Linked DNA regions of Danio rerio. The protein of the gene in region 3 binds, or shares a complex with, the protein of the main gene of each other region. Links are inferred from orthologs where the notes say so. Each region holds a gene or a part of one and is shown on either strand. Other genes may lie near its edges.

Region 1 (7,809 bases), on a different chromosome or scaffold from region 3:
TGGTTTTTCCTTTAGCGATTAGGATTGTGTGACTGTCCACTTTTGGCAGCTAGGGCTTTGACAATTTTGTTTAAATGTTTCATGCTAATGAAATGCTAATGTATTAATGTAAATTAATTTCGAATCAGTACTATAAAGCAAACTAGGGCTGCAACAACGAATTGATTAAAATTGATTACTAAAAGCGATGGCAACGAACTTCATAATAGATTCGCCATGTCGCATGACACAGAGACGTTTGATTATTAAAACAACTTTAGTCTGCTTCTCTCGCGCACTGATGCCAGAGTTCGGCGCCTCATAAACAGGATGGAGCAAAAAAACAGGAGGAGGTAACGTTAGAAGAAAGATACATGCAGAAGAAAAGAGCAACAACAGGATAAATCACTACAGAATTCTACTTTTCCATTTTGAAGTGAGGAACATGACATGAAAAATTCAAACTGAGCTTTGGTGCGTTGGTTGGCACTGAGCCAGAGAAAGACTTGTCATATTATCAAAATTACACACTGTTTTTAACCAGCCAATGCTTATTTTATGTTTTAGACTTGTAAATACACACAAGTACCAGTAAAATAATACATTTAAAGTTTGCAAAACACAAAAGAAAGTCTATGAAATTCTAACAATCCATTTAAATATAATTTGCTGATGTGTATCATTCATATCAGATACGCATAGTGAAAGTAACAATAAGGTTCTATCTATTCTTCTCCAAGCTGGCCAGGCACTTGCTTACATGCATTCTGGGAGTAACTGATGAATATACATGCTGAATCCTGCATGTTTTGCTTTTATGAATGAGACAAACGAGCGTTTAGATCACGGAATAAATCATGATCAAGACCATTTATATGTGCTATGAGCAAGCATGTAAATATTTCGTATTAAAACGGTAAAGCATAATAAAAGGGATACATCTGTCATACATTGTGGCTGTGGTGTGTCACATGACAAACATGAGTGAGTTAAACTTAAAGTCTTTTTAGATATTTGGATTGAAAACTTTTTATTTTATTATTATTATTATTATAACAGCTCAGAGATGTTCAAGGACAACATGTTTGTGCACTTTCTAAAGATTTTAGTTCTGTTTTTTAAAAAAAGGCTGGAAATGAATACTTTTCTTTTTTTTATCCGATTCATCAATTAATCTACAAAATCATTGACAGATTAATCTATTATTAAAATAATTGTTAGTTGCAGCCCTAAAGCAAACTATACGTGGGTCCAAAGTATAGAATTTTGTGCACAGTATCAAAAATACTAAAAAACTATTATTACTAAATTTCACACCAGGAAACCAAGGACACCAGTTGCCCTTACAAATAGACATCCATGCATTATACACACCCAGTTTTCAGTTTTGCGCGCCCGTCTCTCCAAACTCTTTTGAAGTCTCTCTCCTACACCACCAGGTTGTAGAAATTCGTCCATGAGCTTGCATGTGTGTGCCATCTCCTCCTCACTGATTAGTGGTTCGAGCAAGGCCAGATATCGAGAACATGTTTGCTTCAGTGGAGGAACGGGTAGCTTTGGCAGACTTTCTTGATGTAACAGCGACCGGTCAGAAATTTGGACAACTGGTATGGGACTCAGTAGACGGCAATGTTTCACCAGGCCCGTCCTTGCCTAAGAATGCAATTATTATAACAATTATAACTGAACCTGCAATAATCTTCATAAAAATAAAACAATGTATCAGGTTATTTTTAAAATACAGAAACCAATGTGTGTGTGTATTCCTAAATATGAATTTTCCTAAAATTAGCATTTTTTCCCTCAGGCTGTTTGTAGGTTTGTTCATTTAAATTTTATTTCTATGTATGTTATTTTAATCGCCTTTAAGTTACATAACTTTATCCAAAAAAAAAAAGAAAAAAAAAAAGCTAATTTTAGAAGTAGATCTCAGGCAGCACTTTGAGGCTTAATTTTGCATCTGAACTTTGCATGGGACCTTCCAACACAATTCAAATCTAAACTTGTAAGACTGATGGATGCATTATGTCGATCTGCCCCGCTGTCAAAAGTAGGATACATAGTGCCACTGTTCTTGACAACCTCCTTGACATTTTTTGTTGCTGATTTGTCCTCTAATTACGGACCATTTTAACATCTAATAATTCGTTTGTTATGTTTATTGGAACGTAACGTCACATAGTAATAAATAAAATGTCTCAGATTAAGTAAATATAAAGTAAAAACACAATAAATGCTATAGATGGGACGTTGCTGCTACCACTGGCGCATTTGGCAAGGCGTTCGCTTAACTGTTAAAGGCATTGCGTTTATTTAATGTCAGTAAGTTGTATGCTGTAATAAACGGCACTTACCGCTGTTCTGCTTAAGAGACACAGCATAATTCCACGCGAATCCTGTAGATTTCAGTTGACAGCTGAAGTGGGTGTCCCCGACATTATGAGCTTTCAAGGGCGACCAAAACTTTCTTGACAAGTTGCCAGACTAGTCGTACACTGTCGCCCTCGCTTGAATAAGATTGACAACTACAACTAACGTTACCGAGATACCAGTTAATTTTGACCCCGAATAGCTTGCACTGTGTTGACAAGTCTTACGACTGTTTAAAGATTTCAAGACTGTTCAGTAATTAATATACAGTTTTATTAGCCTATAATCTAGAGTGGTCTTTTATTTAGTGGTCAATCGGACTAAAAAAACAAAAAAAAAACATTGCCGTCTATCGGTCTGTGTGACCTGTTTGGACGTTCGCAACGTCATCACTAAGCGACTGTCAATACAACAACAGACTGCGTTCAAAATACTTTTCATAACTCATTGGAAATAACTTATAAAACGCCGTTTTTTAGTCAGACATACGATCTGTAAACTCTGTGAATGTTGCAGAACATTGACATCATATTTGACATAACTTCTCAGGTGGAGCTACTTTATGTGAAACTTTAAATAAAACGCTCTAGTGTTTTGCAGCGCAAAAGGTGTGAGGACGCTAACGTTACCAATAAAGGTTACTTTCGAAAGCATTAATGGCGTCTTTTTTCCTTTTGTTCAGCTGAAATTATTTAATTCTCATTAAATGTAATTTAGATTAACCAGGTTTTAATGTCGCTTGTTTTTAGAATATAATAAAACGTGTTCAGTGTCGACATGAAACATATATAAAATATACTGTTGTTTAGTACAATTTAGCCCATATTAATTAATTAGCAGGCTAACATGTACAATAAATGAAACTCCATAGAGGGTTTATGTACGTGTCCTTTAAAAAGTTTCAGGTTGCTGATCTACCTGTCGCGGACAAAATGCGTAACCGATTTGACGTTAGCTGTTTATCATGGAGGAATATGCCCGTGAACCCTGGTAAAGTACCTGCTGACTTCTGATGAGTCCGTCCGCGCTTCAGGTCACGACAGGACGTATATAATTTTAAGAAGTTTATGATTTCTATTTTCGCTTGGATCGTTTGCTTCTTTGCTGTCATTCTCTCTAAAGTACCCTGCTAAATACTATAACAATTTGTGTAGCTTTGATACATTTCTCGAATCACACACTGGATTGAATGCTTTAGCCTTTATTTATTTATTTATTTATTTATTTATTCAAAATCCTTAGGTCGTCTATCAGATGTATATATGAAAATGAACATACAGTGCCTAATGTTTAGCCGTATTGTAAATCTGTTGTGGGATAATGTATACGTTTTTGATGGAAGATATTTTAAATCACTTTTTTCTGCAAGGCATATGTCATATTGAACAGTGAAAAGTCCTGTTAATGTAAGACATTACTCCAGATATTAAACAATGACCGTGATTTGCATTTACTACAATGAAGAATACCTTTTCTTTTGTAAGTCCATTTTTTCTTTGTATTCTATAGTCTTCAAAAGGAATCATATAAATAATATGGTAGGCTAAATTTAATGCAATCCAAAGTTTTTTTTTTTAATTAACATAACAGACTACTTCAATAAAATGTTACTCAATTTCTCTGGAAAGATATCTAAATGATTAGTTTTATGATCAAATCTTTGTCATTTTTAAAACATCACCCAAAAGCAGTACATTGTGCATATAAGCAAGTAAACTTGTTGTTCACCTTGAAACATTAGTATCAATACCAAATGTATTTACCTAGTTAATTACCTAATAGAAATAATTTAATATTTCACCTTCAAGCAAGGGTTGCACAATTGTTTCAACATTGATATCATGTGCACACCTACAATACTCACATCGCAGGATGTTCAATGTTGAGCTGCGATTATAGTTGAGCAGGAGCTACAGTTCCGAGTACATGAGATTTGTGGGGTCACTGTTGACTTTAACCATGATTTAGTGAAAGTTTATAATTTGCATGTTTTTAAAGCAGTCACAAGAAATAGCACACTTTGTTTTTTATTCAGTACCTGAATACTGCTTGACAACCCAGAAAAACATAAAGCCATGTTTATTTCATTTTACTGTATTTATCTTCTTGTAAGTTGTTTGTTTTTGAATGCATAATTCACTCCCCTGTTGAATTATAAAACAATAGGGGAACAAATAGAACAAAATCAAAGTATTTTTAACTCATTTTTTAAAACATGATAAGGTTGTTTACACAAAATGCTGTATTGGACACATGAATGACTCATTAATGGACTCACTCAAGGATAATTTCCCCCAAAATGTCAATGCTGCAAAACAAACCAAAACTGTTAAACATATTTTTGGAATAACCTATTTTTTATGTTATCAGACAATTATTTTTATCTAAAGAAACTTTAAAGAACTTTTGAAAATTTTTTATTTTTTATCAAAAGTAAACCTTAAAAAAAGTTTCAGATTTTTTATTTTATGCATTATTTATTGCTTTTGATGTCTTTTATTTTTTAGAAACGTGATATTTATAAAATGTTGTCAATTTGATCTGGTTTTTGCCATGATATAGCCGGAGAAGCTGAAGTGACAATAAATTTAAATATAGTCCAGCCTAAATATAGTGCAGCCTATTCACTTGCATTGCACTAATTAATATAGTGCAGCCTACTTTTTATACACAAACACACACAAATGAAGTCAGAATTATTGGCCCCCTGTTACTTTTTCCCCAATTTTATTGACTTATTTCTAATGCCTGATTTATCTTTGCCATGATGCCAGTAAATAATATTTTACTAGATATTTTTGAAGACACTTTTGTACAGCTTAATGGGACATTTAAAGGCTTACTGTTAAACATAGTTTGTGAAAAAAATTAAAAGTAAAATAAAATTAAAAGGGTAACTAAAAATTCTGTGTTTCTGACTTCAACTGTGTGTGTGTGTAAATATATATATATATATATATATATATACATACATACATATATATATATATATATATATATATATATATATATATATACATATACATACACACACACACATATATACACACGCACACATACATATATATATATATATATATACATTTGCTTATATATATATATATATATATATATATATATATATATATATATATATATATATATATATATACATACATAAGCAAAGACCTTGGATTGTGTACAGTAATTGATGTTTCTCTTCAAAGTTATTTTAGATGATTTGAAGATTATTTCGGTAATTTTGAGTCTATTGAATTGATTAATTAAGGTACAGTATATAATGCAGTTGACTTCTAACAGGTAATTTTCTTTTTAGCCCATGGAGGATAGTTGATGACTGTGGGGGTGCTTTTACCATGGGAGCCATTGGAGGAGGGGTGTTTCAGACTGTCAAAGGATTTCGGAATGCACCTGTGGTATGTTTTACTGTCAAACAGACGACTCCGCTATTACCAAAACACAATGCAATGCATTTATTATAAAAGAAAAATACTGTATTTTTATAGGGTGTTCGACACAGGTTAAGAGGTAGCGCAAATGCAGTGAGAGTAAGGGCACCACAAATTGGAGGCGAGTATTCAGAATTTTTTTTTATTGTTTTGTTGTTTCTCTGTTTTTGTACTGCATATGACAATTAAAAATTTGTTTAGCAGTTATTCATTATAAATTACAGCGTGTGTGTGTGTGTGTGTGTGTGTGTGTGTGTTTGTAGGTAGTTTTGCTGTTTGGGGAGGACTGTTTTCAACCATAGACTGTGGTCTTGTGCGTTTGCGGGGTAAGGAAGACCCTTGGAACTCCATTACCAGTGGGGCAATGACCGGAGCTATACTAGCAGCACGTAGTAAGTTTAGCACAGTTATTATAACTCTGTTAGAATTTGAAGGTAATGACACATATAATGTTGTCAAGCAAACTTTCACTAGGACAATTCATGAGAGTGGTGTTTTAAAACTGACCAAACACTGCATTTAAGTTGGACATGCAAATTCATCTTGTTCACAAAGAGAAATCTGTTTGATTTGAAAATGAATTCTTTGTGAGGTGTGCTTTATGCATGAAAAACAATGGGCCCTATCATACACCCAGCGCAATAAGGTGCAAGACTTGTTTGCACCGACGTGTTGCTAATTTCAGATCAATGCAACTCTAGCATTAAGTAGCAAATCCATTTGTGCCACTTTGTGGACTCATAGGTGTTTCATTCTAGAAAAGAAGTGCGTTAAGGAGCTTTGTTGGCGTGTTGCTATTTTGAGGAACTAAATTAGACTGTAATTGACCAGCTAAAAGCAAGTCTAAAGTCCAGCGCAGAGCGCGTTTGTTGTGTGCCCCACTTACACATTGCTTGATACACGCAAGATGGAATACACAAATATCTTTACAAATGAAAGAATTAAAAGATTTAAATATTACAAAACTTATTATTTTCTACATAAATATAAAAAACACTGCCTCCATGTCTTCTTTATCTCAGGGGGCTTTTTTAGTTTAAGTTTTTGCTTTTGTAAAATGTTATTATTAGTAGTAGTATTACTTATTATATGATTATTTTTATCTGTTTTATTTTTTAAAAAAGCTTGGATTTGCCCACCCCTCAGGTTTTGGACCATATAGGGCATAGCACATTTGTTTGGATATAACTGACCACACTTCATTATTATTGCTTATTTATTCATTTTCTGGAAATTGAACTGAATTTGTAAATAGTTTTGAAACAAATCTTTGCGCTTAACAAACAAAATTAAATATTTTGACTCATACAACACCGTTTCCTTATCCACGAAATAGAGAAAGTGAAAGTAAAGGCCAATTATAGCAGGCTCATTCTTTATCCTTGCGCTGCAGATGGTCTGTTTAGCTGCTTTCTCGCGAGTGAAGCTTTCAGTTTTTCCACTTACAAAGTCCGCCATGTAAATAGCAAATGTGCCATGGGGTGATGCAACTGACTCTTAAAGGGAATGGGAGATGAGACTCTGATTGGTTTGTCCTCAAAACACACCCATTACTCATTAAGAAAATAAGCAAAACCCTGTAGTATTACTGTCGTAATAGTTCATCATTAATCTGCACTCTTTAAGCTACCTCTGGTTTATGAGTTTGCAAGATGGAAAATATTTGCATTACTTGCATGTTTGTATTTCAGGTGGTCCCCTCGCTATGGTGGGCTCTGCAATGATGGGTGGAATTCTGCTTGCCCTAATTGAGGGCTTTGGGATTCTTCTTACTAGATACACAGCACAGCAGTTTCAGAATTGTGAGTTACACACTTGTATGTCAGTGACAGAAATGTTAACACTCACAAAACATTCTGTTATGTCTTTTTAATTTTTTTTTTTTTTTTTTTGAGAAATACAAAGATTGTCTAAACATTTATTTGTGCAACATTTATTTAGGTAAACCAATTAATTAAATGTGGTGTGCATCTGCGCAGTTGAAAAAAACTTTTTTCATCAATATTTTGGA
Region 2 (7,953 bases), on a different chromosome or scaffold from region 3:
ATGACCCAGAGGCCAATGAGAAAGCTGAGAACAGCAAAAGGCATACTGCAGATAAACGCAATGACAGGAACAATAGTGTTTGGCCTTGGTATTTCCTTTGTCACAGTCATGCTCTGTTGATGAATGAGGTCCACACTGTAAATTCAGTGTCTCAGATGAGTTCATGGAATAAGAAAAGGCCTTGAGTTTTAAAGGACTTCTCATTGGTACTGTCTATAGTCTCCAAATGAAGAAGTGGGCATTGGAGCAGGTTCTTCTGCAAACTGTGGGCCTGTAGAGAAAGATGACAATTGTTTAGCAATTCAAGTACCTATTTGGGCTGTATGATATTGGAAAAACTGACATTATTTAATTTTTCTGTGATATGAATTTAATTTCACAAGCGGATTTAAATAACTCTATTTGAAAATAGTTTATAACTTAACATTGATTGGGAGTGCATCTGCATAAAATATAATAAACACATTACGGACATACAATAGAATGAAGATTTAAAAGAAATAAACCGTGCCTTATGGATTTCTGCACAGTTGAACAGTAATATGGTTCAGAAATTGAACAATCAAATGTAAAATAACACTGTGTAGTCAACATTTGAAGTAAATCAAAACCTTTTCTCAAAGTTGTCCTAAAACTATTCAACAATTTTCATTCTTTTTGTTGGACAATTTTGAAAAACTTCATTGATCCTCTTCAAATGTTTACTACTGTAGAAATAATGAAATACAATTAAACTATGTTGAAGCTACAAATGTAATAATTTCTAGTGCCCAAATGGTTTAAAAGAGCTTGGAATCATACACAGTCACAGGCCTTAAAAATTTCTAGTCTCTTAAGGTTAAACTTTGCATGAGCATGAACCGTGTTTCTTGTTAATTATAATACCAACTTGGCATTGCAGATATTGTAATGCAACTATTGTAGATTCACATATGGCAATATCAATGCTGGAACAATATATTGTGCATGCCTAAATTTGTATTTCAATTCGTCTCAGAGAATAATCTGCCACACTTACCAGTTGGGAATTGCGCTGAAGCAAACCTTGTGAGCAAAATTCCAGCACCTTCTATTAATGCGAGCAGTATTCCTCCCATTGCAGCAGAGCCAACCATGGCCACTGGTCCATCTGTGAAAAGACAGAAGATTAGAGGGGTGGTCCACTACGATATCATATTTTAAACTTTAGTTAATGTGTGACGTAGCTGTGTGAACATAAACAACATCTCTGAATGTAAAATGCTCAAAGTTCAATGCAAAGTGAGACTACAGCTGCATCTCAAATGGCACACTATACACTATGCACTTACACATTTAAAAGCATAGTATATGTATGTAGTGTTGTCCCAAATGGAACACCAATGTTTTTTTTTACTGAGCGGAAATTCCAACCCTTTCCCTAATGACGTTCGACGGTTGCTAAATCAGTGAAATAAATGACCAAACTATCAAATACCTGCAATGAGTATAACCGCATTCAACATCAGGAGGCGCTATAATCACTCTCGTGGGAAAATTTTGCTTTCACCACCCAAAAAAAATAAAGATATCCAACATGTGCGCCCGATAGCTCTGCCCCTTCCGCTACGTGAGCAAACCTGCGGTCATTAAGTGCGAAGTGTCCAATATTAGACACTTCATTTTACCGGCTAAATGAGTGCATTATTCGGGTAATTAAAGTGCACTTAACATTTTTCGAGTTTTCAGAGTAAACACACTACTTACACTATTTATACTACAAAATGGCGTAGAATAGTGCATAAGTATGCAATTTGGGACGCAGCTATTGGCTTAGGTGAACAAACCTACAGTGAACAAAGCTTGGGGACTACAAAAAAATACATCCGGGTTAATGATGTAATACACCCTTCAGTTTACGCACATACACCCCGCGCAGCGAAGGGGTGTGGCCAGAGGCACTGTAATGTTATAACAGAGATGATTCCTGGTGATGTGGAGCTGATCTGCGAATCACAGCACATTATGTTAGCTGACCAATCAGAGCTTCTTGAGGGCGGACCTTTTGGAGGAACTAGGAAATTTGAGTCTTTTTCATGTTAGCTGAGTAGCTGTATATAATCAAAGTAAGATGCATGAAAAAAACAATGTGATTTTTAAGCATGAGTAGACATTGCTTTGCACCCCATAAACACATCAAAGCCTTAAAAATACACCCCTTTAAAGTCCACATAAACCCAAAGCTGCGACCATTTTTTTCTTTGTTTTTTTGTATTATGACAGTTCCTAGAAGAAAAGAATATTAAATGAGAAAACTGTCACCGTGGCTTGTTTTTCTACTCCGAGTAGTAAGAAGAAAGATTGGGAAAAGGGTTTGAGGAGAGTTATTACAAGCTACAGACACCTTCTCACCATTTCTGTGTGTTGTTAATACTTTAGAAAAGATTAAAGACACCACAGCATTACCAGCTTTAGATCAGGATTTGACTCACTTCTTGCTGCTAAAATGGCTCCTGTCATGGCTCCACTTGTGATTGAGTTCCAAGGGTCTTCTTTGCCTCTCACTTTCACCAGCCCACAATCAATCATGGAGAACAGGCCACCCCATACAGCAAAGCTTCCTGATGTTCGAAGACAATTGAATGTCATGTGTTGTAAAAAAAAAAAAAAAAAAAAAAAACTGTATGGTCACTGAATGGATTTTTGAGCAAGCACAAAAAAGTGGGATGTAGATCATTATTCAATCTTTTAGACATACGAGACCACCAATTATTATCATCCTTGTCCAGGAGCTCTTCAGCATTAAGTTCAAAATATATTTCATAATTTAATTTAAAAAAAAAACATTGTCCAAAATGTTATGCACAGGCTGCACAAGCACATTAAATCATTTTTTGCTGTAATTGAAAAGGCTGTGCATATAAAACCAAACATATTTTGGGCTTAAAGGGATTTGTATAGGGTCTAAAATAAAGACCAAATTTACAATGTGAAATAATTATATTATAGATTTGATACATGTACTGTATTTACTAATTTATTTTAATTTATTTAAAACTTTCTAATATTAATTTTAAAGAAAATATTAAATGATCAAATGTTTATTTATATATTTATTTTAGATCCCTTTTAGATTATTTATTTGAATCTTATTTGATCCTGTTTTTGTGTGAATTAAACTTTTAAAAGAATTAATGCTTTGCTTTTTCTCCAGTCATTTTCACAGATCTTATGATATTAATTTGGTCACAGTTTAAAAAGCTGATGGCAAATAAACAAATTAATATGAAACGTGTTTTTAATAAAACCTTTTCAAACTTGTGTAATATACACAAACACAAATAGTTAAATCAGCTAATCAACAATACAATACAAAATAAAAAACCCAAACCTTATGAAAAGTATTGCATCACTCATGTGACAAATAACTTTAAACAAGATCATTACCTCCTAGTTGTGGAGCTCTGGTTCTTATGGCTGTCAAGCTACCCTTCATTCTGTGATTCATTCCCTAAAAAGATGAAAAACAAAAACAACATTCACCTTAACGCCAGGGACAATAACGTACAACCAAGCACTAATCATTTAGTTAAACAGCATTGCTTTAGTAGCAGCATCAAACATGACTCACAGAAGGAGAGTTTCTAAAGCCTTTAACTGCCTGAAAGATCCCTCCACCGATGGCCCCCATGGTGAAGGCGCCCCCACAGTCATCCACTATCCTCCAGGGACTGACAAACAACAGAGAGATGTCATGACATGTAGTGTTCATCTTTCCAACTAACAACTCTTGCAGTTCTTACAAAACAGTAAAATAGCATGATAAACGCATCACCAATGAAAATGTATTATGGTTGTGATAGAGGTAAAGTTGGTTTTATATTCGCAAATTCAGACTTTCCCCTTCATAATATGATTGTGATCGCTGCTCTAAAATATGTTCTTTTTAAATGTATGGGTGAAAAACAAAAACTTTTTCCCCCTTAAACGCAATATATAATTTTGTGAAAGATTTAAAATATTTTGGAGCAGTAAACATGTCAGGCTAAATAATTCAAATCAATCATTGACTTCTACTGTCTTCATTTGTTTTAAAAACTGCATCTTTGGATAGGTTTTCTGCTGGAGATACTGTTTTCCTAAAAAAAACAAAAGGTCAATAAAAACTCTTACACACACGTTAGGAACGGTATTATAGTAAATTTTGGCCTTGACTTTTCCAAACCGTAGTATATTTTGAAAAGGGTTATCGTCCCATGCCTAATTAGCAGCCAATGACTATCAAAGTACAACATTTTCAACAGTCAAATAAACAGTGTTAATGTTGTTTTCAAGTCATACCTGCAGTTTATTTCAGACCGAATATTTAAAGTGGCATGGTAAACAACATTGGGAGTGTGTCACAAGTTGTCACTGAACGAATGTGAGAATATAAAAATGACTTTACGTCTATATGGTTGTGGTACAAATAAAATGCATAACACATGATTTCTGTAGATAAACCATGCTAACTGTGAAATAACTATAGTTTTGCTACATTAACCATATCTTAGCCTTGGTATTTGCAGTAAATATTTATTATACAAATATTATCAATACAAATTTGCTTGAATAACAGGAAATTATTTAAAAAACAGTTTTTTTTTTTTTTATAAATAAGACATTTCATTAGTGTTTACTTTATACGTCCACCCTCATTTACTATGGTTTTCACTAAATAAGAAACTTTTTTGTAGTTAACATAGGGTAATGTGTGGTTATGTCATGGATAAAACAACGTTACAAAAACACGTCTTTTGGTATTATTCGTAGTAAAAACAAGTTTGTTAAAATAGTTTGCCTATTGCATATCTGATAAAACCAACAGTGATCAATAGGACCAAACAAGGTTATTACATTCTACATAGTTACTTCATAACTACATAGTTATTTACCGTAAGGCTACCCAGGTGATTTGCAGAAACCAGCAAGCATAACTGTAACGTATATTGTAATCTATATTCTGCGTTTAACAGTCGACGAATTTACACAACAGACATTTCTGGAAGACATTATACAAAAACAAAATCTAGTGATCTCTAAAGCCGGTAGAACAAGGTCATGTGCGGCACTGACAGCACGAAGCCTTCACTGAAGGGCATCGTGTTAAAAAACCTCCATCAAAACCACCATATCACAATATTGCGAGCGTCAGACACCCTGACAATTAATTACAGCGTAGAAATAACATACTACAGTATGACCGTTAGAGAAATAAAACCATATACATTCACTGAACGTATAAAATAATAGGTTTGAGGCTGTCGGCTCACCATGGCTCCCTCGCGTACTCCTCCATTTTGTTCTTTTCCCGTTCACAACTGACGTAACCAAGCACGTGCTGTTGCTGCAAGTGACGTAAGGTTCCTCGTGCGTTTTCTGCTGGTTCTTTCTGTGTGAACATTGCAAAGACGCCCCTCTAGTGGAGGAAGTTTTACAAACCAACAAACCATTCAAAGTCACAAAATGTGACTCAATTATATATTATCATTATCATATATCATCAGAGGTGCGCGACGTTGTCATTCGTTTGCCGGCAGCTGAGACTTGGGAGTATTCTAGTTTACGAGGACTCCTCTTTTCACTATGAACAACAAAGGTGAAAAAAGAGATCTTTGTGATCTTTTGCTCATGGTTTAAAGTTTTAAGAAAGATCACAAGTTACAATATTTAAAGTTGTACCTAATTAATTTAAGTGCTTTTTGAAAGTAATGTAACTGATGGTGTTTTTTTAATAACATTTCGAAATTTCTAATAAATGTTTTTAACTGCCAACACATAATCATAATGTAGCATTATTTTATTTTTTTACCTTGAAACCATTCTGATGGTAAGTACAAATTTAAAATCATAATATGAAATAGTTTTTATTTATTTATTTCATAATTAATGTTTTGAAATAATAGCTTTAATAAGAAACACTGTCATAACTGTTGGCTAGGCTATATAGGATGGTTGCACCATTTACCGGTACTATGGTAGTATCGTGACACTATGGCTCCAAAATACTGGCAATACCACTGTAGTTTGTATATGGTAGTATCGTCATTAATGGTCTATCTACAATAAATAATGTGTGTGGAAAAGTCACTAAATTGCTCACAAGTTTGTGCAACAATAGTCCATTTTATTAGAATAAAGCAGTCAAAGGTTGCAAAACTGTGTAAAATTTGCACCTTTTATGGTTTTTATGGTTTTACGATTTTTGACACTTCAGTTTAAACGCACATCTGAATCAGTTCATTTCTGTTCCTGTCAATATGATTTAGTAGCTACAACAAACACAACAATCTCTTAAAAACAACGACTCACAAAGTAAAAATTATAATTAGGCCTACTTTGGATTCTTACCTGATAAGGAAAAAATAAAAATAAAAAACAATAGATGAAAAACAAAAAGAGCAACAGGAAACATCGAAACCATTTTTGACCTCTTTTTATTGCCTAATTTGCTCTTTTTGTAATAAATTCTGTTCGGTATAATTTGTATCTTTATTTTAATGTATTATATTGATGTGCAAATACATTTTAGAATAATAAGAGAATTATGAATTCAATTCAAGTAGGCCTGTTATAACTTATAAAATAGCTTTTCTGATCATTTTCTTTATTTCATAAATTTGAGTTATGAATTACAGTATCGCAATACTACTTGGTATTACAATACTTAAGCTGGTAAAGTATTGTAATGTGAACTAGTGGTATTGCGACAACACTAATAGGAAATATATAGAACTAACTAACTACAGGAAACAAAACATTTATAGAATAGGCATGTTTCCTATTCTTTGTCCTAAACTGAACAAATTTAAACAAGAGAAAAAAATCGGAATATTTTCTAACTTCTTGAAGCTTTTTACAAAAAATATACAGATTTAACCAATTTAGTTGAATTTTACATTTTTCAGAAACTGTAATGGATAACAACAGTTACATTTTATTAAATTATGTAATGCCATTATAAATAACAAGTTACACCCCAACACTGCTCATTTTTATTCATTCGTTCATTTATTTTCTTGTCGTCTTAGTGCCTTCATTTATCCAGGGTTGCCACAGCGGAATGAACCCGCAACTTATCAAGCAAGTTTTTACGCAGCGGATGCCCTTCCTCTGGGAATCTCTGGGAAATGCTCATTTTTATGATGTTTATAATTAACATCTAATTATATCTGAAAAGTGTAAAATGTTATTAATAGCACTTCATCTTGCAAATTTATTTGATTCATTCATTCAATTTTCTTTATACCACCAACTCATCCAGCATATGTTTTACACAGCAGATTGCCCTTCCAGCTGCCTTTATTCACACACATACTCTATGGCCAATTTTATTTACCCAATTCACCTATAGCACAAGTGTTTGAACTGTGGGGGAAACCAGAGCACCCGAAGGAAACCCAAGCCAACACAGGGAGAACATGCAAACTCCACACAGAAACACCAACTGGCCCAGTCTTGTACCATTCTTGCTGTGAGGCCACAGTGCTAACCACTGAGCCACCGTGTCCAAATTGATTCTATTTGTATTTCTTTTATTAGAAAGCAATATTCAAGTTCATATCTTGCAAATAGATGTTGTCAAGTGGCAAGTGAATCAAAATGACCTGGCCCTAGTTTTTCCTAAACAGAAATATTTGGCTGGGTAATGGCTCTATGTTAAAGTCAAGAATCTCTCTTGCTCCTTGATGTTGCCTTGCTCTGAGTCCGACAGGCTGTTGGCTGTGTTTCCATTATTAGGAAGAGGGAAGGAATGATACGCAGACTGAGCCTGCATCGAGAAATGACCAAATATAGACATTTCAGCAGTGCTGAGGGTTAGTCCTGGCAATCAAAATATAAACTAGCTCGCTTTCAATCCAATCAACCTCCAGAGTTTGAAGGAGAAGTCATTTCTGAAAGAAAAAGTAGAAAGACCCCAGAGCAATTACTTCTAATCTATGCATTGAAAGAAGC
Region 3 (6,304 bases):
TCAATAAAAAAAGAAAATGATTTGTGACAGGACATTGTTTGGCTAAAGATAGCATTTCTTCAACACATGTTTTACCTGCAGCTGATAAAGTGCCTCCTAAATATGCTCTTTGTACACAGTTTAAAAGCTTAATTTTTTTTTTTTCAGATTTTTAATTTTTTTTATTATTATTTTATTCATTCATATTTCACTGTGACATGGTGGAAATGTTAAGCTTGACAATATTCAGTTTCAAACACAATATGGGGAAAAATAGGAAACGAAAGTTAGTTTAGATACTTACTGTGTGCACAGCAGATAGGCCTGTCATGGTATCTATTTTTTGTGGTTTGATATATAGCAACAAATGTTATTGCGATAAACAATATTATCATTATTTTAAGACCATTTTGACACTATAATAGCATCGTAATGCAAGTACACCCCTCCAAAGAACACAATATTTTATTCTTAAGAATATTTAATTATAGTCATTTTAACAATTTAATAATTAGGTATTGTAATTTCATAGAAAACGTATATCCTAAACAAATAAATAATAATATTAATACTATATACTAATACTATAATAATTAATAGTAAATACTATAGTGTTTTTTTTAACCATACTAACACTGACAGATTATAAACGTAATCAGCTACAATGTGGCTAGAACTAGAATAGTTTTTCATGTATGGGCGATATATGTTGCATCACCAAAAATGATTGAAAACATGTCTGTGTGTTGTACGATAAGTCAATATATTGATTATTGTGACAGGCCGAACAGCAGATGTTTTAACCTCCTCTGTAGAGGGTTTCTTATTCGAGCATTTACTACATTATGATGGAGTGGACAACAATTTTAAGGACCAATGCAAAATGGTTAATAATGTTATGAAAACAAAATAAACGTTATCAAAATGACATATTTTAACAAATAACTTGTTTAAGACTTAACTTGTTTTTTTTTTTAATCTTTTCAATTTTATCTAATTTACCTACTTTTTAGATTCACTGAAGTTGGCTGTGTAGTGTGTGGGACATGGAAAAATCACATTCATTCAGTAAAAGAATATTGGAAAATTTGACAGACATATTTCAAAACACTTCTAATTCTACCCGCTTGTGTGTAAAGGTTTTACCAATTATATTAAAACATCAGAAGTTCATTATTTCGCATTAAGTTCATATAGGACTGATTCAATCATGTGAGACATCAAAGGCACTTTATAGTGATAATAGCCCAAATACATTGTAAACATACAATATACAAAAGGTGTAACAGGGAGAAATGTGTTAACATTTTATGAAGAATGCTATGTAACTGACAATTTTATATCTGTAATGTACTTCAGCAGTAAAAACAAACAAACAACAAAAAAAACATTATTTTTCTGTTATTGTAACTTTGTTCAATTTTTAAAGGGTACTTCCAAAAATTGAAATTATGTCATGATTTACTCACTTAGACTTGTTCTAAATGAGTTAACCTTTTTTTTCCATAAAAGAAGAAGAAATGAAGAAAAGAAGAATGTTGGAAACATTGACTCATTTTTATAATTAGTTAGTAAATGCAGTTAATGTATTACTAAATGCTCAATCTAAATGGTTTATTTGAATCAGAATTTGTTGACCCAATAACAGATGCAATCAGATTGGTCCAGTTTAAAAATGAATAATTCGGTACGATTTGGTACAATGTTTTGGACTCAAATGTAGTAGTAGTGGTAATTAAAAGTAAACATTTTCTAAAATAAAAAAAAAAACTTTAATAAAGTACTGATAGTGAAGTAAACAGTACAGTTTTGATTAAAAAAAATACAAAAGGACTGCCCATCATTGTTAGTTGAGGATTGTTACAAAACAAAATCACAAATAAATCTAGCCATTGTGATTTTATAGGCATTACAAAATTGCAGTAAAATAATATTTGTAAAAATTTACTTGTAGATTGAATTGTAGCTGTTCAGTAAATAAATGTCTCCTTTCCTCAACAGTTAAACAAGCTGGCAAAGATTTCACCTATTTGATCGTAGTGCTCATTGGACTCGGTGTAACAGGTAACCAGGTCTGGATTGACGACTCTTATGTTTCAGGGCCCCATTCTCTGTTCTTACTGTGCCAGAAAACCAACAGAAAGCACCAACATGCATTTCCTAATGATGATAACAGGATGATGTCTAAATAGTGATATTAGTTATATTTTATTCACTTTGGATTTTGTATCAGCAAAATGTTCATTATTGCTAACATAGTAATTAATTTTAGCAACATGCAGGTCATGAGTTTAGACATTCTAGGAATGCTAACCATTTTTGTTATGCTGACAAAATGCTAACTCATTTGCATTAAAACATGCTAATAACAGTATATGTTATGAATATGCTAAAACATACATGTGGCTATGTAGTAAATGGTCATTCGTTCTAGTAATGCTTGCAATGGTTTAAACATGTTAAGAAATTTGCAATGTATTGCTTAAAGACAAAATTATCTGTTTACATATATTATGTAATAACCAAATACTATTTAATAAAAATGCAACAAAATTACTAAAATTAACAACTACTTCATTATAGTTTATTATTGTTCAGTAGTTTTTTTTTTTTTAATGATTTTAGTAATTTTGTGTATGATATTTTTCCACGCACATAGTGATCTTAACAACTTTGAACTCATTCATTAATTTTCTTGTCGGCTTAGTCCCTTTATTAATCTGTGGTCGCCACAGCGGAATGAACCGCCAACTTATCCAGCAAGTTTTTACACAGCGGATGCCCTTCCAGCCGCAACCCATCTCTGGGAAACATCCACACACACTCATACACTACGGACAATTTAGCCTACCCAATTCACCTGTACCGCATGTCTTTGGACTGTGGGGGAAACCAGAGCACCCGGAGGAAACCTACACAAAGGCAGGGAGAACATGCAAACTCCACAAAGAAACGCCAACTGAGCCGAGGTTCGAACCAGCGACCTTCTAGCTGTGAGGCTACAACACTTCCTACTGCGCCATATAACATATAAATAAACAAGTATTTATATTTCATTTCAGCTCCAAAGTCTTTTTTTTTGTTAACGATAACACTGACTCAAATACAATACATGAGACAGACATTATAATCATACAAATCAGTTAAATTCATATGTATTTATATAGCACTTTTTACTATATATATATATATATATATATATATATATATATATATATATATATATATATATATATATATATATATATATATATATATTGTGTCAATACAGCTAGCCATAGTCATAACATGATAAAGCCATCACTTTGCAAAACTGTGGAACCTTTTAGCAATTCAGGCAGGCAGGCAGGTTATAATCATTTCTATGCATATTTTTTTTAATTTGTATATACATATTATTCAGCAGTATAATAAGTGAACCGATTAATGTTTTCTAATCGCTTTAGGTGGCCTGCTGTATGTGGTCTTTCAAGAACTCTTTTCCTCTTCAAGCCCAAGCAAAATCTATGGAAAAGCTTTCGAGAGGTGCAGATCTCATCCAGAGGTCAGTGATTCATTAGCTATATATATCACATATGTGTAAACCTAATGTCTGAAATGCATGAATAAATCAGCCTGTTGACTACAACTTGTGATCTAATCATATTGAGCTAATCATATTCATCTGTAACATATGTTCATAGTTTTTCTACTGTAGTGTGCATACAGTACATCTTTTACCTCATTTAAACATTATAATATGTCTATGTTGAGAGGTAAGCATGATAGAACACCCAATAAAGGGGGAGAGCATGCTCAGAGCCTGGCGGCTAATCAGCAGGCCAAAAACTAGAATAAACAGGTGTTGCTTATTATTTCTGATTGGCCTGCTGATTAGCCGCCGGGCTCTGAGCATGCTCTCCCCCTTTATTGGGTGTTCGATCATGCTTACCTCTCCACAGTCTATATTAAGTAAACCTATAAATTACAGTGCATCCAGAAAGTATTCATAGCGCTTTCCTTTTTCACACATTTTTTTACAGCCTTATTCCGAAGTGAATAAAATTTATTTATTTCCTCAATTCTACACACAATACCCCATAATGACACTGTGAAAAAAAGAGTTTTTGAAATTGTTTAAAATGTATTAAAAATAAAATACCTGAAAAATCACATGAAAATAAGTATTGACAGCCTTTGCCATAAAGCTCTAAATTGAGCTCAGGTATATTCTGTTTCCACTGATCATTCATGAGGTGTTTCAGCAGCTTAATTGGAGTTCACCTGTGGTAAATTCAGTTGATTGGGCATGATTTGAATTTGAAAAGGCATACACCTGTCTATATAAGGTCTCAGGGTTGACAGTGCATGTCAAAACACAAACCAAGCATGAAGACAAAGGAATTGTTTGTAGACCTCAGAGACAGGATTGTCTCCAGACTCGGGAGGGTTGCAGAAAAAAATTCTGCTGCTCTGAAAGTTCCAATGAGCACAGTGGCCTCCATCATGCGTAAGTAGAAGATGTTTAGAATCACCAGGACTCTTCCTAGAGCTGGCCAGCCATCTAAGCTGAGTGATCGGGTGGAAGAGCCTTAGTCAGGGAGGGGATCAGTAACCCGATAGTCACTCTGTCTGAGCTTCAGCGTTCTTCTGTGGAGAGAGGAGAACTTTACAGAAGGACAACCATCTGTGTAGCAAGTAGATCTGTGTATGGTAGATTGGCCAGATGGAAGCCCATCTGGAATTTGCCAAAAGGCATCTGAAGGACTCTCAGAGCATAAGAAACAAAATTCTCTGGTCTGATGAGACATAAATTGAACTCTTTGGAGTGAATGCCATGCGTTACGTTTGGAGAAAACCATGTACTGCTCATCTCCAGGCTAATACCATACCATGTTTTTCAGCCGCAGAAACTGGAAGAATAGTTAGGATAGAGGGAAAGATGAATGCAGCAATGTACAGAGACATCCTGAATGAAAACCTGCTTCAGAGTGCTCTTGACCTCAGACTTGGGCAATGGTTCATCTTCCAGCAGGGTAATGACCCAAAACACACTGCCAAAATATGGAGTGGCTTTACAACAACTCTGTGAATGTTCTTGAGTGGTCCAGCCAGAGCCCAGACTTAAATCCTATTGAACCTTATGGAGAGATCTGAAAATGGCTGTACACCGTTTCTTCCTTTTTAACTTGATAGAGCTTGAGAGGTAGTGCTAGAGGAATGGGCAAAAAATCCCAAAGACCTGTGCCAAGCTTGTGGCGTCATATTCAAAAAGACTTGAGGCTGTAATTGCTGCTAAAGGTGCATAAAAAAGGATTGAACAAAGGCTGTGAATACTTATGTTTATGTGATTTTTCAGGTTTTTTTACTTTTAATAAATTTGCAACAATTTCAAAAACTCTTTTTTGCACATTGTCATTATGGGGTATTGAGTGTAGAATTTTGAGGAAATAAGTGAATTCAATCCATTTTGGAATAAGGCTGTAACATAAAAAAATTTGGAAAAAGTGAAGCGCTATGAATATTTTCCGGATGCATGCACATTTAACTTGAGTATGTTTGCACTCTGGTTAAATGTTAACTGCATTTCGTTACCCTATACTCAACATGTGTATTGACAATAAATAAAATACGTTTAATCGATGTTGATGGTGACTCTATGCTAACCTATATTTGCTAAGGTAATTGGAGCTTTTGGAGAGCCTATTAAAGGCTTTGGGGAAACTAGTAGACGTGGCAGAAGGCAACAAGTCAGGTAAAATACATAATATCAGTAAACTCAAACTCTTCTGTGAGATCTCATATCTCAATTATTACATATTTGTTTTTTTTTTTCTTTAGTCATTTGGAGTACATGAAGGATGGACTCAAGTACATGCGGCTGAAATTCTACATTGAGGGATCTGAACCAGGATTGCGAGGAACTGTTCATTCAGAATCAAAGGAGGTATGATGTAATATCACAAAAAGAAAATAAGTTTGTTTCATGCAAAGATGTGTTTTTTTACAGTTTTTCCTTTGTGACAGAATCCTGAGACAGGGAAGTATGAATTTCGGTATATTTTTGTGGAGATAGACACATATCCGAGGAGAACAATCGTCATTGAAGACAACAGATGAAACGAGTTTTGTAACGGTGTTAAATGCATATTGATGATTTTCAGTAGCAGACAGTGTTTTTCTTCTGATTGCTGAATTTATACTGGTGTTCTAATTAATCAAGCTTGGATTTGTCATGCTTGAATTTTGATGTGTCGCAAGATTGCGTTAATAACTGTGTATCTAGAAATTTTGACAAAGTCAAATATTGTGCATTTTGTACAAGGATTTATATGTTTGTTTTTGT

Evidence for each region.
Region 1: timm21 (region 3) and timm17b share a complex: the UniProt entries of both Homo sapiens proteins name them as parts of the TIM23 complex. The link is inferred for Danio rerio from reciprocal best matches to the Homo sapiens genes TIMM21 and TIMM17B.
Region 2: timm21 (region 3) and timm17a share a complex: the UniProt entries of both Homo sapiens proteins name them as parts of the TIM23 complex. The link is inferred for Danio rerio from reciprocal best matches to the Homo sapiens genes TIMM21 and TIMM17A.

Annotation. Positions count from the first base shown.
Region 1 is NC_133183.1:54,613,643-54,621,451, reverse strand, and holds the start of timm17b (mitochondrial import inner membrane translocase subunit Tim17-B), read left to right. Parts: upstream 1-3,291; 5' UTR 3,292-3,313; coding exon 3,314-3,339; exon of another isoform or gene 3,340-3,382; intron 3,383-5,665; coding exon 5,666-5,765; intron 5,766-5,855; coding exon 5,856-5,919; intron 5,920-6,061; coding exon 6,062-6,190; intron 6,191-7,489; coding exon 7,490-7,600; intron 7,601-7,809. Other genes in the region: zgc:154046 (Carnitine O-acetyltransferase-like), read right to left, coding at 1,354-1,632, 2,334-2,360. UniProt on the Homo sapiens protein: Essential component of the TIM23 complex, a complex that mediates the translocation of transit peptide-containing proteins across the mitochondrial inner membrane.
Region 2 is NC_133186.1:26,972,566-26,980,518, reverse strand, and holds the start of timm17a (mitochondrial import inner membrane translocase subunit Tim17-A), read right to left. Parts: upstream 5,301-7,953; 5' UTR 5,297-5,300; coding exon 5,271-5,296; intron 3,690-5,270; coding exon 3,590-3,689; intron 3,470-3,589; coding exon 3,406-3,469; intron 2,580-3,405; coding exon 2,451-2,579; intron 1,130-2,450; coding exon 1,019-1,129; intron 272-1,018; coding exon 201-271; 3' UTR 1-200. UniProt on the Homo sapiens protein: Essential component of the TIM23 complex, a complex that mediates the translocation of transit peptide-containing proteins across the mitochondrial inner membrane.
Region 3 is NC_133199.1:17,613,627-17,619,930, forward strand, and holds part of timm21 (mitochondrial import inner membrane translocase subunit Tim21), read left to right. Parts: intron 1-1,980; coding exon 1,981-2,043; intron 2,044-3,425; coding exon 3,426-3,523; intron 3,524-5,639; coding exon 5,640-5,713; intron 5,714-5,799; coding exon 5,800-5,905; intron 5,906-5,985; coding exon 5,986-6,078; 3' UTR 6,079-6,304. UniProt on the Homo sapiens protein: Participates in the translocation of transit peptide-containing proteins across the mitochondrial inner membrane.